3 linked regions of the Schizosaccharomyces pombe genome follow. The protein of the gene in region 3 interacts with the protein of the main gene of each other region in a pairwise test. Each region holds a gene or a part of one and is shown on either strand. Other genes may lie near its edges. The genes, in order: spk1, his2 and urh2.

What was found.
Region 1: the proteins of urh2 (region 3) and spk1 interact in a two-hybrid assay, tested with the Schizosaccharomyces pombe proteins (one large-scale study listed by BioGRID).
Region 2: the proteins of urh2 (region 3) and his2 interact in a two-hybrid assay, tested with the Schizosaccharomyces pombe proteins (one large-scale study listed by BioGRID).

Annotation. Positions count from the first base shown.
Region 1 is NC_003424.3:2,998,965-3,003,459, forward strand, and holds spk1 (MAP kinase Spk1), read right to left. Parts: upstream 2,555-4,495; 5' UTR 2,005-2,554; coding exon 886-2,004; 3' UTR 880-885; downstream 1-879. Other genes in the region: hem4 (uroporphyrinogen-III synthase Ups), read left to right, coding at 124-879; RNA polymerase I termination factor, Myb family Eta2, read left to right, coding at 3,093-4,495. UniProt on the Schizosaccharomyces pombe protein: Involved in mating signal transduction pathway.
Region 2 is NC_003423.3:2,157,715-2,161,812, reverse strand, and holds his2 (histidinol dehydrogenase His2), read right to left. Parts: upstream 1,969-4,098; 5' UTR 1,897-1,968; coding exon 577-1,896; 3' UTR 522-576; downstream 1-521. Other genes in the region: meiotic recombination protein Rec15, read right to left, coding at 1-17, 67-271; ppp16 (acylpeptide hydrolase), read right to left, coding at 2,137-4,098. UniProt on the Schizosaccharomyces pombe protein: Catalyzes the sequential NAD-dependent oxidations of L-histidinol to L-histidinaldehyde and then to L-histidine.
Region 3 is NC_003424.3:2,342,545-2,346,678, reverse strand, and holds urh2 (uridine ribohydrolase), read right to left. Parts: upstream 2,159-4,134; 5' UTR 1,865-2,158; coding exon 872-1,864; 3' UTR 635-871; downstream 1-634. Other genes in the region: negative cofactor 2 complex subunit Bur6, read left to right, coding at 1-247.

The sequences.
Region 1 (4,495 bases), 660 kb from region 3:
CATGTTTGTTCCATCTGCCAAATTGTGCTACTGCTCACTGGTCAGAATAAGCGTAGAATAGGTTGAGGAACTAGATGACACTGTAATTATTTTTTTACATTTCTCAAATTGTAAAGACAAAGCATGAAAACTGCTTTGCTATTGAAAACCAAATCACAGCCTTTCGATCCATATGTGGAGGCCTTTGAAAAATATGGAAGAGATACAGCCTTCATTCCTGTGCTGAGACACAAAAGGGTTCACGAAGAACAGCTTAGAGATAAATTAAAAAACGTTCGTAAAACTTATTGTGGTTTAATCGTTACCAGTCAACGAGTTAGCGAAACTCTGGATGAAGCATTAAAACAAGAAGATGAAACGGAGAGGCAGAAAATATTGATGGAAACACCAATATTTACAGTAGGTCCGGCGACTGATGATAGTATTCGACGTCTCGGTTTTCAGCAAACACATGGAAAGGACTGTGGAAGGGGTGAGGTTTTGGCAGATTTAATTGAAGAGTGGTATACTACGACTAAACAACATAAGCCCTTACTTTTCCTTGTAGGGGAAAAGCATAGGGATATAATTCAAAGAAAACTGGGGGACGACAGAGTAGATTCATTAATCGTATATGCTACGCAAGAATTAGAAAATACAGAAACCCAAATAAAGGATACGATTAGAAAACATCCTACAATTGATTGGATTGTCGCATTCAGTCCGACATCCATTTGCTCTTTATTAAACACATTTGAATTAAAGATCGCAACCATTGGACCTACTACTGGAGATTATCTAAAGAAGCTGGGAACTCAACCGAACGTTGTATCTCCAGCACCTAATCCAGAGAGCTTGGCATCCAGCATAGTTGCCTTTGATGAGGAGAATTCTAGTTGAAGCTTTTTATCTGAAATTTACTTCACGAAATATTAAGGCCTTCAATACCGGTATTTCGAGATCTTCTTTGTTACAGTATAAATCGACGAGGTTGGGAGGCATGGGGGATGCTGTAGGCTCATCACTGGCATCATGATAAGCAGCTACATACGGGTGCTTTAGAGCCTCTTCTGCAGTTATACGCTTATCAGGATTAAATGTCAGTAATTTTTCTAAAAGGTCAATAGCATCTGGTGATGCCTGAGGAAAGAGTGCTTTGAATGATACTTTAGGAGTAAATGGAAGACTTTTAATATATTTCCTCGCACGTGCAGATTTAATTCTTGAAAAATCGTCCATAGTAGGCGTTCCTAGAATGTTAAGGATTAAAGTAATTTGACTATGATAGTCCTTTCCTGGGAACAATGGTCGAGCAGAAAGCATCTCAGCAAGTATACAACCAGTACTCCATAAATCAATAGCTTTGCTGTATTCTCGGAAACTCAGCATAATTTCCGGTGCTCGATACCAACGAGTTGCGACATACTCAGTCATAAAGCCAGGATTTCCGCCTTGAGCTGTGGTGGAACGTGCCAAACCGAAATCGGCAACTTTGAGATCACAATTGGCATTTAGTAGTAAGTTTGATGGCTTCAGGTCTCTATGAACAACTCCAGCACTATGCATGGCTTTCAGAGCGCGCAAAATTTGATACGTAAAGTATTGACAATGATCATCGCTTAAGGGCTGCGAACGTATAACACGGTACAAATCCGTTTCCATAAGCTCTTGTACAATATAAACATCTTCCAATTCCTGGTAGCTCGGTGGTGGAAGGATGTCTAGAATTGAAATTATATTTTCATGACGAAAATGTCTGAGTAACTTGATTTCCCTTAAAGTTCTTAGACAAAACACAGGATGATTGAAAGGATGTATTTTTTTAACAGCCACCTTTAGGCCGCTGGGTTTGTGAAGCGCGGCACATACAACTCCATAAGCACCTTGACCGATGAGATTGATCATTTCGTATTCCTCTGGTAGCTCAAAGTTTAGATCATGCGTGTGTGGGCTTCGACTTGTAGCTACTGACTCCTTGTTGGAATTCCCATCCGCAATAGTAGGCGTGGAAGTAGCGCTCGCCATTAGACTACAAATTGAAAAACTTGAAAGAAATGAAGCGATATGAATAGATAAATAGAATTAAAAAGAATTACAACGTTCTTTGTAATAAATTATGTTATGCAATCCTTTGTGCTTTAAATCCGACAATATTGAAAAAAGTCGGTTTGCCAGCCAAAGACAGAAATAGACAAGGATGTATTAGAAATCCCTTTATCAAATTAGTTTAGTATTAAATTAAATAATGCGAAAGAAGGACGTTCGGCAGCACTTCAAAAACAGGCGCTAGCAACAATAATACAAATATTAGGTTGCAAGCTTATAAAATATAGGAATAACAAAAGAAATAGAAAATATACAAAAATCGTAAAAGGGAAGAATTTCAAAAAACCAGACAAATGTATCTTCGCAATTGAGATTAAAGGCCCACAATGGTTATTCAATAAAAAAATGATGCTTCAAATATTGCCAAGCAAAGATGCCTTGAGGGAATTGCAAAAGCGTCCTTCAAAACCGTCTCTAGCAATTTCTCAATTGCCCTTCCAAAACTGTTGAAAAGCTGTTGGTAATTGTTAAGTAGTGTGGTTGGACTAGTCAACATTTATAACTTACAATAACAAAGAAAGTTTCTTTGTTAATGTATTGCCCCAGAAACTTCATAGATACGAATCTTTAGACAGAATAAAGAAACGATGAGTGACATGAAATCAAAAAAGTAACACACATTTTAAGTGCGCGACGCGTCGCGCATATTCTTTGTTTACACTAACTTACAAACCTTCCATCTACCACGACAGAAATTAAAGGCAAAGAAATGCAATATTTTAAGACTATCTAAATCGAAATAATTAATTTACAAGGTAAGCAGAAACAATTGGTTATGCAAGGATATTTGAATGGGTTCTTGAAGAGGTTGAACAGAAACCGTATGATGGTTGTTTAATTTTATGTTCTCGTAATAATAATCTTATGAAAGTTTAAAAAGCATGAAAAAAAATAGATAAATCCGTTGAAACTCTCAAACAAAAATAGTTAAACATTCATAAATTTCCCTTGGCGTCCTTACTTCATCATGAATTGGCTAACCCGTTATTAGAAGGCATTGTAAATTAATGATGTTAGCTATCGACATGACAATAAATGAAAACCAGGGAACACGCTCAAATTTGGAAAGTCCTACACTTTCATGTAGCAGTAAGGGTGCAATGCAAGAAAGAGACGTTATGTTTACAGATCACAATACCTTCAATATCACTAATAATAAATCTCGGCCTGGAAGTTTAATGAAATCTATGAAAAGAAAAGATGTTTACGAATTTGATGAAGATAATGAGTTTGAGTTTGAAATGGGGTCACTTATACATAAGCCTTCACGTGCTCACTCCTTAGGAGGAACTAGTGAGCCTGTGTCAGATGACCATAAAGATTGTATGGAAGCTACACGACAGTTATTGGAAAATAGTCCACTTTCCTCTGTCGTTGTCAAAACATGTAGTGATCATGCATCAAAGCGTAAAATTGCGCGATCCTCTTCTGACGATTCTGAAAGCAAAGTTGAAAGCACAAACTCTTTCAATGCAAAGAAAAGAAAGGATGCATGGACAGAGGAGCATGAAAAGTGGTTTCAAGCAAGGATTGATGAATTGTTAACGATTCGGTCTATATCACGGGAGCAAATGATCGAGATATTGGAAGACGAACATGCTGGGAGTCGACTTCAAGGGTTTTTAGAGTCAGTAGCATCTTTTCTGAATCGAAAAGAAAATAGTTTACTAAAGTACATGCGTGCTTTTTTTCAAGTCGCCGGTTACGAAAAGATAGACATTGGAAGCTTGGCTGCTGAAGAGGATTCGCAACTTAATTTTTCTCTAGAAGACGCACAAGTGATTCAAAAAGTAGTTTTGTCTTATTGTAATAATGAAGGCGTAGATTTACAAGAGTTTGGCTTCCGGATGAGTTCTTCAAGCTTAAGACATACAAATATCAACTTTCTATACAACGAACTACGCGAATTGCTGCCTACTTCTATTTCAAGAAAAGGAATTATTCGTTATTTGAAGGAAATCTACAAGCCGTTGGATCCGAAAGATAGGAATGCATGGGAGGAAAGTGAGCTAAAAAAGCTGTACACCCTAGTTGAACAAGAGGGAACGCGGTGGAACAGCATAGCGAACAAACTGGGAACGTCACCTGCCGCGTGCATGAGTCAATGGAGGTTTGTTGTAGGTACTAGTACTCAGGAAACAATTGATCGGCGCAAATTATGGACGAATGAAGAGGAAGCAAAGCTATTAGACTTGGTAAAGTCTTCTTACCGGTCGTCTTTTCACACAAAAAAAATGACAAGCCTTTTCACACACAATAATCACACTACTTCAAACATACAACGGGAAATACCGGCATCTGATTCCATTGCATGGCATAGCATATCGAAGAAGCTTGGGACTAAGTCGCCGGAAAGCTGTCGAAAACAGTACGAAAAAACAATCGCATCTTATTCTTCTAACCAACGTCA
Region 2 (4,098 bases), on a different chromosome or scaffold from region 3:
ATTCAAAGATTGTAGTACTATTAAGTCAGACTTCCAACCACTTGGGAAATTCTAAATCTCACTTACCTAGTTGAGAATTTTGTTGTTGGACTTCACTAATAGATCGTCCTAGTTGACCGATCGTTTGATTAACTACCTCTTGTTTGGTATTCATTTCAGCCAAACAACTAGCAATTTGATTGCTCTGTGACTTTTGATGCTGTTGCATATCTTCGGCTTGCATTGCCAACTTGCGAGACCATAATTGAGCAGCTGAAACTGAATAACTCATTATTTAATGATCGTTTCCGTTAAAATTCCCGTAACGCTTAATTGCAGGTTTGGTTAAAGGGAATGTTCGTTTTCACTAGAAAAAAGTCGAGACACGCGACGCGACACCAACTAACTTCAGGTTGAATTAATGGATAATTACTCAGTATATTGGATGCCCATTCATACTATTAAAATTAAATTGAAAAATATAAAATAAAATAAAATAAATCATAACCTAAAAATACTTTGTCAAATTTAGTACCAAACACAAATTTTATTTTAAGCCGAATCCTTAATTAGGTATACGTAAAAAGGAAACCCCTTTCAAAGTCTAACTCCCCGAACACGAACAGCATCGGCATGCGCAGTGAGACCCTCCAACTCAGCAAGACGAATAACAGTAGGGCCCAACCGCTGGATTCCTTCTTCAGTGAGCTCTTGGGTAGTGATATATTTTAAGAAGCTATCGGTACTAACGCCAGAATAAGAAGAGGCGTACCCGTATGTAGGAAGCGTATGGTTGGTACCAGACGCATAGTCACCCATACTTACAGGTGACCAAGGACCAACGAAAACGCTACCAGCATTATCTATTTTGGGAATGTATGAAGAAGCATTTTTTAAGTGCAAGACCAAGTGCTCAGGACCATACAAATTAGACCATTCAAAAGCTTGATCAACATTGTCAACCTGTACAATAACCGACTTCTTGATAGCATGTTTGATGATATACGAACGAGAAAGTCGTAAAGCGTGATCATTAATTGCTTTTTGAATACGGTCAAACATTTCGGGAGATAGAGAGACAGTCAGCAAAATGATCTGACTGTCCAAACCATGCTCTGCTTGAGACAATAAATCCAAGGCAACACTTTCAGGATTACAGGTCTCATCTGCTATTACCAAAACTTCTGAGGGACCAGCAGGAAGATCAATAGCAACTAAAGCCCCGTAATCATTCTGAACATGCATCTTTGCAGCTGTAACAAATTGATTTCCAGGGCCAAAAATTTTGTTAACTTTAGGAACACCGGATATTCCATATGCCATGGCCGCAATTGCTTGCGCCCCGCCTGCCAAAATAATAGCCTCAGCACCAATTTTATTTGCAATATATACAATTTCAGGCGCAACCGTACCATCCTTTCGGACTGGCGTAGAAATCACTACATGAGGACAGCCAGCTACCTTCGCCGGAACTCCAAGCATCAAAGCAGTAGATGGCAACACTGCAGTTCCTCCAGGGATATAAAGACCAACTCGGTTAATAGGACGAGACATCCGTTGACAGACTACACCACGCATGGTTTGAACAGCAATTGTAGGACGCAGCTGTGATGAATGGAAAGCAAAAATATTGTTAAAAGCAATATCAATATCCTCTTTAATCATTGGGGATATTTTCATTAAGTCGTCGTCAAACGGAGCCTTTAAGACAGCCGACTTCAATTGAACCTTTTCAAATTTGGAAGCATAATCTATTAGAGAAGCTTCTCCTCTTGATTTAACATCCTCGATTATCGGTTGGACAATCGTACGAATTTTTTGAGTGTTCTGAATGGGTCTTGCAAGTAATCGTGTACGTTCTTCGGCGGTTAATGCAGCAGCTCTATAAGAAGGCACCTGAATCTCGTATTCCGGCATTATTAAGTAAATTAAAGGTAGTCAAGTCTAAATCGACTCTCTAAAAATTTAATGCAATGTTGGCTAAGGAATGGCTGGATCGGTGAATACTCGATTTCCCTTACAGCAAAGATCTAAATTTGATATGTCTTCGGATAAACCGCGGTTGCAACTTTTTATCCGCGGTAATAGAATTAACAAAGATCGAGAGAAACAAAAAAAAATTTATTAAATAATCGTAGTTGTATTATTAAAATTAATCTAAAACGTTTCATCTTCATTGGCATTACAATCTTTAGTATAGTGAAGAATCCACGAAAGCACTTCTTTATGCCAACGTAGGGAATTATCAGGTTTAATGACCCAATGGTTTTCGTCTTCAAAGACTAGTAATCTGCTAGGAATTCCCTTGTACTGCAAAACATTGAATGCGGCTATTCCTTCACTTTCGGTAAGCCTGTAATCCTTTGAGCTATGAATTACAAGTTCAGGAGTGGCCCAATAATTCACAAAATTTGAAGGATTCCAGCGCTCATAGATAACTCTGTTTTCCCAAGGAGTACCCCCAAAATCGTGAATAGAAAAATAAAGTTCTTCAGTATTGTAAAAAGTATTGAGGGTATTAAATACCCCGTCATGACATACAAGTGCACGAAATTGACGACCTAAAGGGTGTCCTTGAATCCAATTAATCATGTAACCACCATAGGAAGCACCTAAGGCAACCATTTTTTCAGAATCAGCATAGGAAAGATGATTTTTTATGTACTCAACACCAAGTTCAATATCTTTATATGGCTTACCACCCCAATCAAGAGCAATGGAATCGGTAAAACGTTGTCCATAACCTGTAGATCCAGTAGGATCAAGAGCAAATACAATAAAACCAGCATTAGCAAAAACTGCAGGATTCCAGCGCGTTGACCAACTATCTGTCCAAGAACCTTGAGGTCCCCCGTGTATAAGCACTGCTACAGGATATTTTTTAGATTTATCAAAACTTTCGGGCTTTACAATCCATGCATGAATTCTGTGACCATGAGTGCCAGGAAACCAAATTTCTTCATAAGAAGTTGGCGATAATCCGACATTGTTCTCGAGTAAAACACTTTCGTTTAACGTTTCAACGTTAATCTTTGCGTAATAAGGGGGATTGATTAAAGATGACTTCGTAAGCCATAAGGAAGAAGATTTAGGGACACTAATAGAAGAAACAGAGTGTTCTTCTGTCATTGGGATAACTTGGTGGTGAAATATAGAAACAAAAAACAAAATTTGCTTCCCATAATTCTCAGCAATAGCAAAAAGACCTGGTTCGCCTCCTTTGAAAACCCCCCATTCAATGCTGGAAGGCGATCGGTCCCAATGACGAGCAATGTGCTTTTTAGCGCCTGACTCGGACTCATATACCATTATTTGATTTTGATCGCTTTCGTACTGTGGTGTTTGCATTTCAAGCCATGCAATATGATTTCCATCTTTGGCTAGTCTTGGTGAAGAGCATGCACCCTTCGCAGTGCTCAATGACTTCAGATTCCGAGTGTTCAGATTAATCTCGTAAACAACTGTCTTTGTTTGTGTTGCCGGATTTAATTTCGGGTCTTTTGCTACAAAGACAAGTTTGTCGTAGTTAGAATCAAAGTCAGAAAGACCTCCGAAGGGTTCGACAGGAGATTCCAAGCCAGTTTCCTTCAACAAATCAATAGCTTTTTCTGAGGAAATTTCAAAATAATTTGAGTTTTCCGTTTTTTTATCTAGCTCTATAAAATAAAGGGTATTCCTAGATCCTGTGTTCCATCTATCCCAGTGTCGAACAAACAAGTGATCGTATACGTGAACATTTGAAGGTCCCTTAACTAACGAATTATCCACTGAACTAAAAACGATTCTATAGTGGTTGTTCTTTTCTCCGATCCTTATATCAGATATTGAAGAGTTATGATTATATATGATACGCTCTGATCGATTGTTAACGTCAAAAAGAAGGATACTCGATGAGCTAGAATTATCTTCTCTTGCATATAAAAAAGCTGAATCAGTAATCCATGTGAGCGCTTTGTTTGATTTGCCGTGTACTAAAAGCTCTTGATGGTTTCTAGTGCTTTCATTCAAAAGGTAAATTCCAGAGTTATATTTGTGATCAGCAAAGGAATAATTCGATTCTATAAATATTCCAAGATTCCCTAAAGGATTGCTAACTACTGCTGACCTTCTAGGAGCTTC
Region 3 (4,134 bases):
TGCTCGTCGAGCAGCTAATGAAGGTGAGCATAATGAAAGTGTTCCCGCTAAAAAAGTTAAAAAGAATACTGTTAAAGAAGAGGAAATTGAAAAAGATGACGAATCAGCTACCACAGAAACTCCTGTCAAAGAAGAACCTACTGGTGAGGAAACTGAAGCAGATCACGAGGAGAAAGCCTCTGTTGATCATGGTAATTTTTCTGACAAGACAACTAGTGAAGCCTCTTCCGCGTCTGGTGATGAGTAGCTACTTTCTCCACCCTATATGACCATAAATATAATGTCTTTGTATACTTTATTCTTGTTTTGCTATTACATTTATTCTTATCTTCCCTTTTTTCTTGAATTTGTTTTCAGAAAATATTCTCAAGCTACTTGTACATAGGACTATAAAATTGGCACATTAATTCTAGTATTTTTAAGCCTTTTCTTCGACTTAAGAATATAATACGTTCTGGTTGTTCATATTGAGCTTTTTTAAAGTGCCTTATTAATGTACTATGAAAGACCAACTTGGCGTCTACTGATTTTATTTGCCAAAATGATGCTATTGACAATTCTACGAACCTATCACTTACTCGTACACCCTTTTGTTTATAATTAAGCATTTATTTATACATACTTTGTTGTTAGTATTTAAATTCAAATAATGATATTTTTATAGTCTAAGATTTTATAAAACTATATGCAATGCAAAAGTATAAACGTACTTCTTTGAGTAAAAAAGAAAGTATTTGGTTTTGTATTTCCAATGGATGATATAAGAGGGCATGATGAATGCTTGAAGTGCTTTCAAAATTGAAAATGAAGGGAGAACTTGATCGTTGTAAAAAATAAACATAAAACACTAGTCGATAATGTCATAAATATACTACAAATAATTGAGCCTGTCTATAACTCCAATAAACGTCTCCCAAAATAATGAAACATCAGCTTCCAAAACAACATGAACATTAGCCGGATACTGATTTTGTTGCGACCATACATCACAGACAGTGCGACCAAGAGTGAGAGAATCTAAGCTTACAGTCACATACATAGAACGCGAGGTCCACAGAGATGGCCACAGCGCCAAAGCAACAGCACAAACGTCATGAACGGGAACACCGTTTCGAATTCCGTAGACATTTTCATAAGTTTGTTGAAAGACAGTCATCAATTCTACCAGTGTGGAACTAAATGGGTTGCTATGTTGACGCAGTAACTGAATAATGTTTGCATCTAAAAGTACTTTATGAGTGACATCTAGCGGCACCATAAATAGTTTGCCGATAAGTGATTTAGTCTCTAAAACGAGCCTAGCTGCCTCAGGATCAGCATACACGTTGAATTCTGCTTGAGAAGTAATATTTCCAATGCCTGTGCTACCACCCATAAATATAAACCTTTCTATGTTGTCGGTAACGCTTGGGTACGTTGCCAATAACAATGCAATGTTTGTCAAAGGACCGGTAGCTACGAGAGTGACAGGCTCTGGATAATTAGAAATAGTGGTATACATAGCGAACACCGCATCAGGAGTAGCCTTCTTTTTGGGATAATCAGGAAGCAATGAAATCCCTGCAAGCCCATTCGTACCATGTATGTGAGTAGCGAACGCGGACTCGCGCATCAAGGGCTTCGCTGCGCCAGCATGAACATCAACATCTTGATTTAAAAGCTCCATTACCGCTAAAGCATTTTTGGTAGTAAATTCTAGCGTTGTATTACCATGTACGGTACTAACACCCAAAATTTTACAATGTCCAGCGCAAGCAGCCAATGTTAAGGCGACAACATCGTCATGTCCAGGATCGCAATCGATCCATATGTTATAGTTTTCTAATGCGGAGCCTTTTTGGAATGAATCAATTGTGTTAGTCATGGTGCCACAATAATCACTAAGCTTAAAAAAAAATCGATTAGTACTAGCTATGAGGTTTTTTATGACTTTATTACTTTGGACATCCGAAGATAATATTCTTGCTGGACGAGGACACAATAAAATATATGGCTAATAACCTTGCAAAGAGATATGTGGTGTTGTGGTTTAAAAATGGTAATAAATATTGCACAGATGGATAGCCTAGTAGCCCCTAATGCGGAAATTGTCTATTCAACCGACCTTGTAAGTAGACAATTAATGTATCAAAAATGCCGACGCTTGAAATCTATCTTCATCAATTTTCGTTTAATTTTCCGCTGTTCTGGATACATTTGAGTAACGCACTGCAAGAGAGTGGCTCACAAAACGTAGAAAAACGTTATTTTGACTTATGATTTGAAATTTATTTGCTACGGTTAGTGTTTGCAATGACTTTCCGTTTAATTCCTGAAACCATTTATCAACAGCTAGCATGATTAAAAACTAACCGAATTTTTTGTTTGCTAATGAATAATAATGTTGGTTACATCCATATGTAAAATGTTATCGGAATTCTTAACAGCTGGAATTTTTACTTTTGAAAATGCTATTGCTAAAACGAAGTAAAGATTTGTAACTTCAGCTAATTTGTTAACTTATTAAAGCTTGCACAGAAGGTAGAAGACAAAACATTATATCAATGAAAAAACAACCCGTTTATTATTGATAAGTAGAAATAAATACGTGCTCGCTTTAATTAGTAGATCAAGATTTATCAGGTATTTTTGAATTTGTAAATAGATTTTACTGAGACATAATAGAATCTACCGTAACTAATGTTGCTTCCATATACCAAGCTTAACTGTGAGCAGAAATAAATTAGTTTTTGTCTTTCGCTCTACTCTTTTCAAATCAGTGTAGTTGCTTCTTCCGGCCAACTGCTGAGAAAAGCTTATGTTTTTCTTCCTTTATTGATTTCTTCCAAAAATACATAGTTGCTTATTTTTCTGTAGAGCATTCAGTCAAAGGAAGTTCGTTGAATTCAAGGCTTTTGCTTTATTATTTTTTCTTAAAAAATTATGGTTTTGAATTTTAATAATTCAGAAGATTTGGTTCAAGAATTATGTAGACTCGTGATCAAAGAGTTTGCATATTCGGAGAAAAAAAATCAACTGTTAGATCAGTTACATTCAAAGCTCCCAAATCTAATTATGATTTAACTTCTTGGAGGATCTGGGAACAGGCATTTCGTTTAAATGTGTCCAATAGCAAAAAATGTTTTGATACTATATCTGGACATAGAATTACTTTACCTACAAACGCGCGTGGTTTGTTTACTGGCTATGACTATGAAAGTAAAAGACATCGCATTGTTATACGTGGGTACGATAAATTTTTTAATATTGATGAAGTCCCTATTACTACTTGGGATGCACTTTCTCAACACACTAAAGGACCTTATGAATTGACAGTCAAAGAAAATGGTTGTATCATATTTATTGCAGCTTTGCCAGACGGACAGATCATTGTTTCTAGCAAGCATTCTTTAGGTATTGTGGAAGGACAATCAGTCTCTCATGCAAACGTTGGGGAACGTTGGCTTGAAAAACATTTGCAAAGTGTTGGTCGCACTAAACAAGAGCTGGCCCATGAACTACTTCGTAGAGACATGACTGCTGTGGCTGAACTCTGTGATGATGAGTTTGAAGAGCACATTCTTCCATACACTGGAAATTCTCGTGGACTATATCTGCATGGATTAAATCGGAATTGCCCGCAGTTTATTACTGCATCATCCTGTGAAGTTGCTGAATTTGCGGAACAATGGGGATTTATGAAAGTTTCTTCATTTTTTATGGATAGCATTCATGAGCTCAAAGCCTTTTTAGAAAATGCCTCTAAAGATGGCAAATGGAATAACAGGGCAATCGAAGGGTTTGTTATTCGTTGTCATTCTGATCATTCATCTCTTGAGCAACAATCTTCTAATGATTTCTTTTTCAAATATAAATTTCCAGAACCGTATGGCATGTTTCGTCAATGGCGTGAAGTCACCAAAATGTTAATATCTGGTAAAAAGCCAAGTTACACAAAATATAAAAAAGTAACGGCTGAATATATTACTTTCTGTGACAAAAAGTTTAAGGAAGACGAGGATGCTAAACGATTATATATGAGCAATAAAGGTATAATTTCTTTACGAGATGAGTTTTTGGTGCTTTCAAAATTAGATCTGATGCATCTTTCCGTTTCGAATGACAATGATTGTGGGAAAGAATTCACCTTACTTG